3 linked regions of the Kluyveromyces lactis genome follow. The protein of the gene in region 2 purifies or fractionates together with the protein of the main gene of each other region. This does not show direct contact. Links are inferred from orthologs where the notes say so. Each region holds a gene or a part of one and is shown on either strand. Other genes may lie near its edges. The genes, in order: LAA1, APL4 and APM1.

Region 1 (4,272 bases), on a different chromosome or scaffold from region 2:
ATCTTCATGCTTACAATATTTTTGCAGTGCAGTGCAAATTTATCCTCAGGATATACATACATTGGCATTGCTCTTCGTACTGCTATCAAACAAAATTTCCATAGGAAGACCTCTCTACAAAACTTGAATTTGCTTGAACAAGAAACGATTAAAAAATTATTTTGGACAATTTATAAAACTGACATCTATATGAATTGTATTTTGGGACTTCCAAATTCTCTAGATGAATCTCTCATAGACCAGGAATTTCCTTCTGATATTGATGACGACAGAATTTTAGAAAATAGACTTTTAGTGCAGCCTTCAGGGAAGCTCAGCTCTGTTGGTATGAATAACGAGCACACAAAACTAATTTTGATAATGAATAATGCCCATAAAATTCTTTATCCAATGTCTTTGACTGTTACTTCTATTTCACATAGTGAGATTAGCAAGTTAGAAGGTGAATTGTCCAACTGGCTTGAGAGATTACCGTTTCAGTTGAAACCAGAATTTTCCCCCACTTCAGAAAAACTTGCACCATATCTTAAACCTAATCGCTATTTGCATCTTGATTATCTTCATGCTGAAATTATGCTATATCGACCATTTATACACTATCTTGTTTTAGATAGTGAGGAATTCCCCAATTATCAGTTTCATATTCATATGGCCAATAAGTGCATAAATACAGCTCGTAAAGTTATTCGATTGGCTGTAGAGATGGATCAACAGAAAGTTTTAAACGCCGTTTACTGGTTTTCCGTCCATACAATTTTTTTTAGTGTTGCGTGCTTATTATATTTCATGCATCAAATGAAATTGAAAGGGTGTAATCTAAGTAGTCCTAACACCGAAAAGGACTGCAGAGATGGTTTTAACTTACTGTTGCAATTAAAGAATGTTTCCCTGGCATCTAGTAAAACTTTCGAGGTTCTAAAATCTTTATTCGAGAAATTAAACCAAAAAACTATGGAATTATCCGATACAGTGTTACCCAACATTATTGCTAAACAAAAGGAACATGAACTGGAAGCTTTTACCAAAATATCCGACCTCTTTATGGAGAATGAAATTGATGAGAATTTACTGGAATATCAAAATGTCGCATTGCCTGACCCAACCGAATTTGATAATGACTTTTTGAATAAAATTTTGAGTCAATTTTCATCAGATCTCAGTTGAATATTTCTATCGGTAGTATGTTCTTCTTTGGTGTTATGTGTATGTATGTATATGTATGTACTTCACTCTGTAAAAGGGTTATAATATTATGATTTTGAAAATTACCTTATAAGGTAACTAGGTTGTCGTTGAATTTAATCTATTTAAACTTTTTCTTTTTTTTTAGTCTGCCTTCTGGATATTTCACCAAAGATCTTCAGTTTAATATATATCAATTAATGGTAGGACACCTTTCCAATTCGACTGGTTGTCGTTTATCTGATTGAGTCAAATATATATATATTAATGGGAGATACATACGTTTCGCTTACTGAGCGCCTAGCATCGTCCGAAGGAAAAAGAGCCACCTTTATCAATTGGATCACCGAATCATTATCATGCAAAACCCTTAATACTGCGGATGTTCTTGATGATACTGTCGAGTTTCTACGAAGCATAATTGTGGCCGAAGACCGTGATGTGGTTGAATACGAATCCAAAGTGATCTCTTATCAGTTATCCAATCTATGTGTTCTATGCTTGAAGGATTTATATCAGGAAAAACCAGGAAAGGTGTATGATTTCGCTGGTTTTCTTTGTAACATTCTGTGCGAGAACTATGAAGAAGTTGTTCAAGGTCCTGCTCTTAAGAAGAGATTCAAGAAGCATAAAAGTACACACTTATATTCTGTTGTCAAAGATTATGCTATTACAATTTTGTGTCATTTATATGCTTGTTTTTCTGAAGATTTGCACTCTTTATCTGCTATGATTATTCCTGTATTATTCAAAGATCTTAAGAAGGTTTTAGAAAAACCTAAATACTTTAACTCGAATTATGCTATTTTTTTGATGAGGCTGTTCCAAACTATATCCATGTATAACAGTAACAATGCGATAGATGATCATTATCATCAGAAATATTTAAAACTGGTTAAGGATGTATTTTCTGATATTTCTGATGAAAGAGTTGATTACCCCTCTGATTTTGTTTCATCTTTGGTTGAGAATTTGACTGGTTACTTTGAGTCCAATTATTTTGTCAAAGCTCACAAAAATGACTTCTTGGACGTTATGCGTTCGAATATAAATTCAATTTTGACCGTCTGCGTTAAGTGTCCCAAATGGAGGATTGCTATCGCAGAATCGTTGGCTAAAATATTAGGCTACTATGTTTCCGTGGACTTGATGGAGCCTAAAGTCGCTTGTGAATTTTATGGTAATTTGTTTTGTTCTCTAAACTTTAAGGCGGGTAGGATTGCGATTCTGGAATCATTACATCAATTTATGTTTGTTAACTTCACCCGGAATACAAAGTTTTTGATGGGTGATAAGTACCTAAGTCTCTTTCAATGTTTTGTCGAATGCTTATGTCGTTGTGGTATAGTGATTTCTATTGAAGATATCGAGTTGTTTAACTTGGTCCATAACCAAACTCTGCCTTTTCTTACAGATTCAGCAAGGACATCAGTCATTGATGAAATTTTTAATGCTGCTGATAGGTACATTCTATCTGACAACCTAGAACAAACACAAAGTATACTAGGTTTATTAAGTGTTTTCTTCAGAGATCTGCCTGCTAATGTGATTGCTGACAGAGGGCTTGGAGAAAAGATTCAAGCTTCTCTTCTGAAAGTAAGTGCTGTTGAAAATCTAACTGTAAGGATAAATTCTGTCTATTGCTTGCAGTTATTTCTTCATAGCGTGCCATACAAAATTCCAGGTGTGGTTGATGAGCTATTGGAGAAACTTTCTTCTCAGTTTCAGATCGAGAAGGGTTTTAGTTTTGCAGGAAACCACGGAATATGCCTTCTGATAAGTTCTATCATTACTTCTCGTGATCCCGACTTTGTCTCATTCGATTTGATAATGCGAGTAACGGCTTTTGCAGTTGGTACTTTAAAATCTAACTCACTGAGTACCAAAAAAGTACTATATGAAAAGGAACTACTTTGTTGGATTCTATTGACCGGAGCTTTGTGTTTCCAAGACGAGAAGTATATCAAAACTCATTCTCCGCAATTGTTTATTTTTTGGCGAAACATTTTCACTCACTCGGCGGTTTATCATACCGAAGATGAACTTATGAAGAACATTGAAATTAGAAACCATGCTTTGTCTTGTATGATATCCTTTTTACGGTCAAGTGTTTTGAATGAAGAACTTTCTAAACAGGTTTTTTATTTAATTTCGAAATGTCTTAATTTTAAACACTCTGTGACTGCTGTTTCTGGTTCCATGAAAGAACTTTTGGCACGTTATGAACATCGGATGTATCAGGTTTTTCTTCTTATTTGTCCTTATGTTCATAAGGATGTTAGTACCTCGGCTCTATTACAGGCTTTGAAAAACTTTAGTAACCCAGTTAATTGTTTCGAGGATGGTTGTTTGCATGTGTCTGCTCCACAAAAAGCCGAAGAAGTTGCTCGTTTTCCCGCCGTCGGTAGGTTTTCTGATGTGTTAACTTGTAGTGAAAGTGCTGACTATGGAGTATCTACTTTCGTAAAATCTGTTCAGTCTTTTGGAACAAGCAAACCTTGTTTATTGGAGGAGGCATGGGAGAAACCTGTTGTAACTTCTAGGTCTTTTGATTATAATCATGTTATTCTTAATTTATCTCCACCTGTCCCATACTCTATTGCGTTGATTGACGTTTCATTGGAACTATTTTCTCTTTGTTTTCCTTTTACTAGTCAATCTGTTCAGCGTTCTTTGATAGAGACTCTAATTTCAAATGTTTTAACTAACTCCCATACTCGTCACAAGTATTCGGTGGTAAAGGCTAATGTTCTTTTTGCTATGTATATGGCATTAGTAGAAGTTGATAGGTGTAAGCTTGGAGTACATTGTACGATTGGTGAGCTAATAATTAATGTGTTGGACGAGTGTTCTTTTTCTGATGATGATATTTTATATGATTTGAAAGGACGCTGTTTTGGTTTTGTTTGTGCTGCAGTTAAACGTACTGGAGATGAAAAGTTTTCGAAAAGTTTAATCAATGTGTCAATTCAGAGGATTGTAAGTGATGTCAATCCTATATCTCGTGGGTTGAATCTTTTCATCATTTGTAATATTTTGAACGAGGATCCTGGATGTAGTGAATTTGCTGTTGTGTTAGATATTGTAAAA
Region 2 (4,430 bases):
GTTGGATTCTGTATTCCAACATACTATTCTTTGAAAGCATTGAAGACTGCCACATCAACGGATGACACACAATTGTTAACTTATTGGATTGTTTTTTCGTTTTTGTCTGTGATCGAGTTCTGGTCCAAGGCTATTTTGTACTGGGTTCCATTCTACTGGTTCTTTAAGACTGTTTTCTTACTGTACATTGCCATTCCATCATTCGGCGGTGCCCAACTTGTTTACACGAGGTTGATTTCACCATTCTCTGACAAATACCTACCTATCGTGGAAGGGAAATCGGGAGAACTGGCCCAGAAAGTCGAAGCTGCTGCCAACAACGCTAAGGCTTCTGGATACTCCCGTTAAATTCTTCTTAGTTGAAAAATCACCCTCTGGTCCAATTTTCTTTTGAGTTCGCTTATTTGATTGCGGAAATGTGAACTCGTACCGGTGTTTATCGACATAGATCCCTTATCTACATGATGTGATTGTTATATCGTTTTATAGTTTACACAATATTACTTTAAGGCATCTTTAACGCTCGTTAATGGGGGATGTTTTCAAATTTATAATCGAATTGATCCTCGGTGGAGTTGATATTCAATTTGACCCTTAGCTTGATTTTCCCAGATCCTAGAATTTTAAGACCCTGCTTAGCTACTTCACCTGTAGCTACCTTGTGGCTTGACAGAGATCCGAATTCTGCCTTCTGTGATTTAGGAACAGCGATTAGGATCTGTAAGGTATTAATATTCGTTTTAGCTTTCAAGAATAGGTCTATTTCAGTACAACCGGGGATTGACGATTCTACTTTACCATAAACTTCAACAATATCAGATGAGTGGATATTGATAGAGTTTGGTGGTATTTCTATGCGTTGTTGGAAGGATGATGATAAAGTTGACCCATTTTGATTTGATGATTGGGGTGCTGGAGTATTGCTCAAGTTAGATAATAGATCATTAGAAGGTTTTGTAGGCGCAGTAGTTTCTGGAGTAGAGAGATCTCCTAGTAAATCTAGAAGAAGATCATTTTCCTTCTTTTTCACTTTCTTAATAGCTGGTGCAGGTACTTTCTGAGAGAAGGTTCTTAATGCAGCAGTCTCTGAGACCTTTTTATGGAAAATGGGCATTGGTTCAAGTAACGCAGCTTTAACACTTGTAGACTCATTGAATAATATTCCATACTGGACAGCCTTTGTTTGAATCATGACGTTGGTGTTTTCCGTGTGGCCTTTAATTAACTGCCTCAATCTATTGGATAGCACTTTTGTATCAATCTTTACAGATAGCTTCAAAGCAGCCAGCAAAACATAGCTTGTTACCATAGGGTTATCACAGTACAAGCTATCGGATTCATATAAGTAACCTGTTAAATTTGTTTCTGTGCATCTGCCATTACCTAAAATCAGATCAGCGTATTCACCGATGCACCAAATCGAGACAACTCTCCATGCTAAATTTTCGTCTGAGACTTGGCTAGAGTCATTATCCAATGCTACGTTGATAATGTTAGAAACCACTTGCTTCTTATGTTCCAGGTTCGAATTATTGTTAATCATAATTAATGCATCAGTAGTCTTCTCAACTGAAATATATTGGCCAACAAATTTCAATATTTTAACTATGACATCCAGTTTCCAGGAATCATCTATTTCATCTTGAAGATCGAAAACCATTATAAGTTGATCTACACAGTACAATATTAGTCCTTTATCGTTTTCTCCTGCTTTTTCTAAGAACGTAAGAATCTCTGCGATCAATTCCCTCATATTTGTTTGGTTTAAAATTGCGAACGTCATCTCAAGAGCCCTCTTTTTGATTGAAATATCAGAATCAAAGATACAACGTGAGATAAACTTTCTATGCCTTTGGACCGCCTGTGGCTCTACCGAAACAACATCTAACAATGCGTTTAATGAAACATATTTTGTGTTGTAATCCTTGTCTGCAACTAGATTACCCAACACGTTGACACCTAGTACTCTCAAGGAGCGCTCTGCTTGGAATGAAAAAATAGTGCGCACTGCCTCGTATAAGACTGAAGTACAACTATTCGAAGTAGTTGGAGTGTAAGTTGCAACTCGGGTCAATGTATCCAAGTAGTTATTCTTGTAAGGCTTAGTTTGCTCAGGGAAGTACTGCAAGAACAAACGTAATGTAGTCATGAGTTCGACTTGTAAAAATGGATCGAGACAACCGCCAACGTTATATTCTGGGTTGGACGATCCTAAATTCAAATGGTGTAGTTTTCCTAAGAGATCAGGTATCAAGGAGGATAGTTTATCAATGATCTCTGGTAGATTATCAAATTCGTACGATTTGGTATTGATGATGATTGCCTGGATCAATTTGTTGGTACCAATTAGAACACCATGGCTAGTAGATTCTTTACTCGAAAGCATCTTGTTAGCGTAAGGAGCGAAAATTTCCAAAAGGGATGGATCCCTCGCAATAAGTTTTCCAGAGCATGCCAACGCCTTTTTGATCAGAAAACTGTCCCTGGAATGCTCTAGAATATTTTTGATATCGGTATACAAATCACGAGCCAACTCTGGAGAAGTCAAAGCGCCCAATGCGTTGATTGCTAACGAAACCACATATCTCGATGGATGATTCAAATCGTTATTCAAAAGATTGGTCAAAAGAGTCAACAATTCCTGATTCTCATCCAATAACAAAACTGCAGCAAGATATCCAACTCTCTTATCGGCGAAGTCTTCAGAAGCAATTAAGTTTATACACTCTACCTGGGCAAAATGTGTCTTTTCTCCCAAGATATACAAATATAACAGCTTGTTAATGTACTTCCTTCTCCTTTCCAGTGAAATATGATCATCCTTCAACTTGGTCCTGATCCTTGCTGATTCCTTGGTAACGATTGACCTTTCTTCAGCCAACGTTTTCGCGGCCCTGACTTCCTTAATGAAAGTCCTCAATGAACCCATTGTTTCTACTTATGTTTCCCAACAAACAAAAAATTGCTAAAGCTCTTTGCGCACCTATATACAACTTATAGTTGAAAACACCACACGCACGCACACTCCCAGCGTTAATTGCAAAAGTTACAGATACCGTGTACGCTGTTCTCAGTTGTCAAGCCCAGTATACGTTACATGTATTTATAGCTATTCTTGTTTATAGAACTGTCCTTTCCAGATTTCGAAATCATGGAAATTATTTATGGCCCCCAAACCTGATTTCTGGGCCCAAGGAAGTTTTTAATGAAAAAGAACCCTTCAAATCTGAAATGTAAATAGTTCATACCAACTAAGTAGGCTGATGATTAACATAAATATAATCCGATGTTTCAGCAGGGAGAGCAAAGTCTAATCTATTCAGCTTAGTGGGTTAGCGAATACATATAGTATTGTGGTTTTTCCTAAACAAGAACTTCACACTTTGGTCACTTTTAAAGTTATTTATTTATTGATCATTTGGTTCTTTTTGCATCCAAGGTAAGTAACCAAACCCTTTTGAGAGATAAGCTGAGATTTTACAGGTCCACGACGGTTGGAAGATAATGTCATTTTTCAGTTCACATCTGGGGTCGTCCTCTGGAAAGCAGAAGGATGGGAATAGGAAAAGATCTTCGTCAATCAAGCAAGCATTTGCATCCATCTTAGGAGCTAGCGGGTCAAAAAGTAGTGGTTCTACCCTTTCAAGGTCAAACAGTAATGGACGTTCCGCAAGTGTACCAAGCTCTAATAGCGCTCGTAGGGCATCTTCCAGACGGCCCAGTGGCGCATATGGCACTTCTGCTATGCCTGCAGGATTCAGTCCGATGATGGCCTTTGGAACGCCGTATTCTATCTATGGATATCAAGATTACGGAGCCCCACAGAACGAATTAGCGATGTCTTCGGAAGAAGGAACTGATAACGAAATTGACGAGGATCAAGGAGATAGCAGTCTGTTGGATTATAGCCTTGGAGGCAACGATTCTGATGGAGACCTAGGCAATGACATCTACACATCATCTTTACAACCGAGCAGATTTCAGAGTCAGCCTAATCGTAGAATGTCTAATGATGACGAACGTGGTGGACCTTTCTCTGTGGTAAGCGATGATGAAGATGATGATGAATATGACGGTCCAGACAATGAAAACGATGGAGATGATGAAGGTGATGATGATGACTTTGAGGAGAATTGTTTGGGCAGGAGGATTACAAGGGTATCGACCGCTTTCAGTGCGACTGGTTCGCAGATCAGCAACACCGTCGTGAACAGGAAAAAAACTGCCAAAACGTGTTTGCTAAATTACTTGGCTGACCGTGGATTATTAAGACCAAGACTTCTTTCTTCGAAGAATGGTGTTACCTTCCACGTTGCCACTTCCGGTGATAACATATTTTTACCTACTATCTCGCCAACTGACGATGAATACTTAAATCATTTGAGCAGACTTAATGATGATGATGATGATGGTGCATTTGGTGATGCGTT
Region 3 (3,484 bases), on a different chromosome or scaffold from region 2:
AGGGCAAAGAACTTCACTGTCAATTCAGCTGCCAATTGATCTACCCATGCGGTATGGAAATAAACGCCATCATATCTGAACTATATATATATATATATAAATCAATGAGATATACCGATATTTATTTCAATAATGAAACATGAACAAAAGCTTCCAAAGGCATTCCCATGTTTCTTCTATTATGGCCATGCTCGTGGGTAAAGCATATTTACCAGAACCTATTGTGTCATCTGTGGCCCCTTTTACATGACAAAAGTAAGTCGGTTATATTCTATTCTTGTCGTAAATGTTTCAAGAATGAAGCGGTGGCTCAATGGTAGAGCTTTCGACTCCAGTTAAATTCTGGGAATTTTCCAAGGAAACAAAATTGCAATCGAAGGGTTGCAGGTTCAATTCCTGTCCGTTTCATTTTTTAACATTTTTGCATAGCTAGTCACATGACTACTTTTGCCACGTGGATTATGATTTTGTCCAATAAACTCTCATCGAATTTACTATTCCGCGATAGTTTAATGGTTAGAATTCGCGCTTGTCGCGTGCGAGATCGGGGTTCAATTCCCCGTCGCGGAGGAATTTTTTTACATTTTTGTATCAAGGTACAATCTCATCCTAAAACCCATTGTAGTACAGAAACAGAGAAGCATTATTAACATACACTGAACAGAGACTCTAACCTTATCAATCCTCACATGCCCAATGTTGTACTTTCTTCAAGATTAACGAATAATGATTCAGTGTTCTTGCAGGAATGGATTAAACCTTCGGTAAGGCCTTATTATTTAAAGAATGAAAAGACGAAATTCTGGCCAGAACAACGTGAACTGGTAACGGACTTACTAGAACATGATATCATAGAGTCAGCTTTCCAAACGGCTTTGAATCCCGCACCTCAGAGGTTCGTCAGAATTGTTAAATTCCATAGAGTAAACGATTACACCGTTTATGCAACGATTAGAGACTCTACAGCATTAATTCTATGCTACTTCACTGTAGACTGCGTGCTAGATTACGAAACTATAAACAATGATAGGATCACATTGAATACACTGAATACGTTGTTCGTCATCGGCAATGTAACCCTACAGTTTTGGAACCACAGAGAGTGCAAATTATGGTTCAATCAGGATTTTCCTGGACTTCGAATGGTCCCCGTGCTCAAGATTGAAAAGGCCCGGATGTTTGACAGAGACCAGATCTCGTCCAATGTCCAATTTGAATGGGTATATGACACACTTCATGGTTGAAGGTCTCTCTTGCCGAGTGTTCGCATTGTTAGATGCAATTTAGCACCTCGTGTATGTGGTGTACCGCTGTAAATAAGTGAAATTTCGGTATCCAAAGCATTGAAATCTCGAAACTACATTTATAAATAGTGTCTGAACAATGAACAATCTAAGTAATAGCCAAACCGTACACTAATATATCGGTATAGGACCCTGTATAGTAACCAATTGTGCAGTATCACTAGTGTGTTTTTTGCTCTTTCTTTGGTGGAGTTTCAGGAGGCAACATTTCTTAAAAAGATACCAGTATAATGGCTTCGTACGTTGCATTTTGTGATTCAAAGGGTAAGCCACTACTCTCGAGAAGATACCAAGATGATGTCTCACAGTCTGCTGTCGAATCGTTCCAGCATTTGTTACTAGAAAGAGAACAGGAAAGCAGTGTCATGCCTCCTTGTTTCCATCACAATGGGATTCACTACATGTACGTGCAGTATAACGATGTTTACGTGCTAGCATTGACCAGGTCAGTATCCGTTAATGCTACCACTATGTTCGCCTTCATGTACAAGTTGATCAATGTAGTTGAGGAGTACGTGAAAAGGGTGGAAGAAGAGTCAATCAGAGATAATTATATTATCATATACGAACTTTTAGACGAAATGATGGATAAAGGCGTTCCGCAAGTGACAGAAACGAAAATGTTGAAACAGTATATTACTCAGAAGTCATTCAAATTGACTAGGTCAGCGAAGAAGCAAAAGAATGTGGCTAGACCACCAACCGAATTGACCAATTCTGTCAGTTGGAGACCAGAGGGTATCAAGTACAAGAAGAACGAAGCGTTCTTGGATGTAATCGAATCGATCAATATGCTAATGACACAGCAGGGCCAAGTATTAAGATCTGAGATCTTGGGTACTGTCAAAGTTAGATCCCGTTTATCTGGTATGCCTGATTTGAAATTGGGTTTGAATGATAAAGGTATTTTCACAACTAATGATCAAGAAGATTCACCTGAACCTGTAGTTTCTTCGAAGAAAAAGAATAGTAATATAGAACTTGAGGATCTAAAATTCCATCAATGTGTGAGATTGAGCAAGTTTGAGAATGAAAAGATTATCACGTTCATCCCACCTGATGGGGAATTTGATCTAATGACTTATAGACTCTCTACCCCGATCAAACCTTTGATATGGTGTGACGTTAAGGTACAGGTACATTCAGGGTCTCGTATCGAGATTCACTGTAGGGCAAAGGCACAAATTAAAAAGAAGTCAGTAGCGAATAATGTGGAGATTTTAATACCGATTCCGGAAGACGCAGATTCGCCCACGTTCAAATATTCTCGTGGTAATATCAAGTGGGTTCCTGAAAAGAATGCAATTCTATGGAAATTTAGTAGTTTCCAAGGTGGTAAAGAGTACTCAATGGCTGCGCAACTGGGGTTGCCCTCAGTCTCTGATGCTGAACCACCAAAATTAAAAAGACCAGTACAAATCAAATTCCAAATTCCTTATTTCACAACATCCGGTATTCAAGTTCGTTATTTGAAAATCGAAGAACCAAAGCTACAGTATAATAGTTATCCTTGGGTACGTTACATTACGCAGAGCGGAGACGATTACACCATCAGGCTGTGAAAGTGACCATGATTTGAAGAATTTCTGGCCATCCTACTCTAATCTATCAGTGCTTATATGAGGAGAAAGATTCATTTGCAATTAAAAATGAAACGCCCTTGAGAGAAACGCTACTCAATCTGATCTTATGTGTGTATATAGTAATATAAATCTTTTTCCATTCTCAATTATGTTTAAATCCTTTGACATTTACTATTACATATGAGAAATCGATCGTCAGTAACTATGTTAGCCACTGGGTTTTATAAAGACTTGGCCAATTCTAAAACCTCTTTCTTACCTTCTTCAATACTGACCTCAGGTGAAACTTGAACCCTCTTCACTTCTAGTTTACCGTTCTTGAAGATCCAGTGAGATCTGACAACACCAGAAACAGCTGTCTTCTTAGCACCCAAAGCTCCGATAAATTCACGTTTAGGGTCGCTTAATAGATCAAAAGGCAAGGCTTGCTTAGTTTGGAAACTCTTCTGAGACTTTGGAGCGTCAGCACTTAGTCCAAAAACAGCAGCGTGTTCCTTCAATTCGCTATAATTGTCTCTGTAGCCACACGCTTGTCTAGTACAACCAGGTGTACTGGCCTTTGGATAAGCAAAGAACACCACTAATTTATTCTTGGAG

The links.
Region 1: the proteins of APL4 (region 2) and LAA1 purify together in Saccharomyces cerevisiae (affinity purification with western blotting; 3 studies listed by BioGRID, with this or other methods). This does not show direct contact. The link is inferred for Kluyveromyces lactis from reciprocal best matches to the Saccharomyces cerevisiae genes APL4 and LAA1.
Region 3: the proteins of APL4 (region 2) and APM1 purify together in Saccharomyces cerevisiae (affinity purification with mass spectrometry; 5 studies listed by BioGRID). This does not show direct contact. The link is inferred for Kluyveromyces lactis from reciprocal best matches to the Saccharomyces cerevisiae genes APL4 and APM1.

What each region holds. Positions count from the first base shown.
Region 1 is NC_006039.1:283,865-288,136, reverse strand, and holds the start of LAA1 (AP-1 complex accessory protein LAA1), read left to right. Parts: upstream 1-1,449; coding exon 1,450-4,272. Other genes in the region: KLLA0_C03201g (uncharacterized protein), read left to right, coding at 1-1,164. UniProt on the Saccharomyces cerevisiae protein: Involved in localization of clathrin adapter protein complex-1 (AP-1) and subsequent AP-1-mediated clathrin-coated vesicle cargo loading.
Region 2 is NC_006041.1:592,860-597,289, reverse strand, and holds APL4 (AP-1 complex subunit gamma), read right to left. Parts: upstream 2,930-4,430; coding exon 527-2,929; downstream 1-526. Other genes in the region: YOP1 (Yop1p), read left to right, coding at 1-348; ECM21 (Ecm21p), read left to right, coding at 3,505-4,430. UniProt on the Saccharomyces cerevisiae protein: Adaptins are components of the adapter complexes which link clathrin to receptors in coated vesicles. Clathrin-associated protein complexes are believed to interact with the cytoplasmic tails of membrane proteins, leading to their selection and concentration.
Region 3 is NC_006040.1:1,215,040-1,218,523, forward strand, and holds APM1 (Apm1p), read left to right. Parts: upstream 1-1,534; coding exon 1,535-2,866; downstream 2,867-3,484. Other genes in the region: KLLA0_D14201g (2-isopropylmalate synthase), read left to right, coding at 1-39; telomerase subunit EST3, read left to right, coding at 690-1,244; thioredoxin peroxidase DOT5, read right to left, coding at 3,109-3,484. UniProt on the Saccharomyces cerevisiae protein: Component of the adaptor complexes which link clathrin to receptors in coated vesicles. Clathrin-associated protein complexes are believed to interact with the cytoplasmic tails of membrane proteins, leading to their selection and concentration.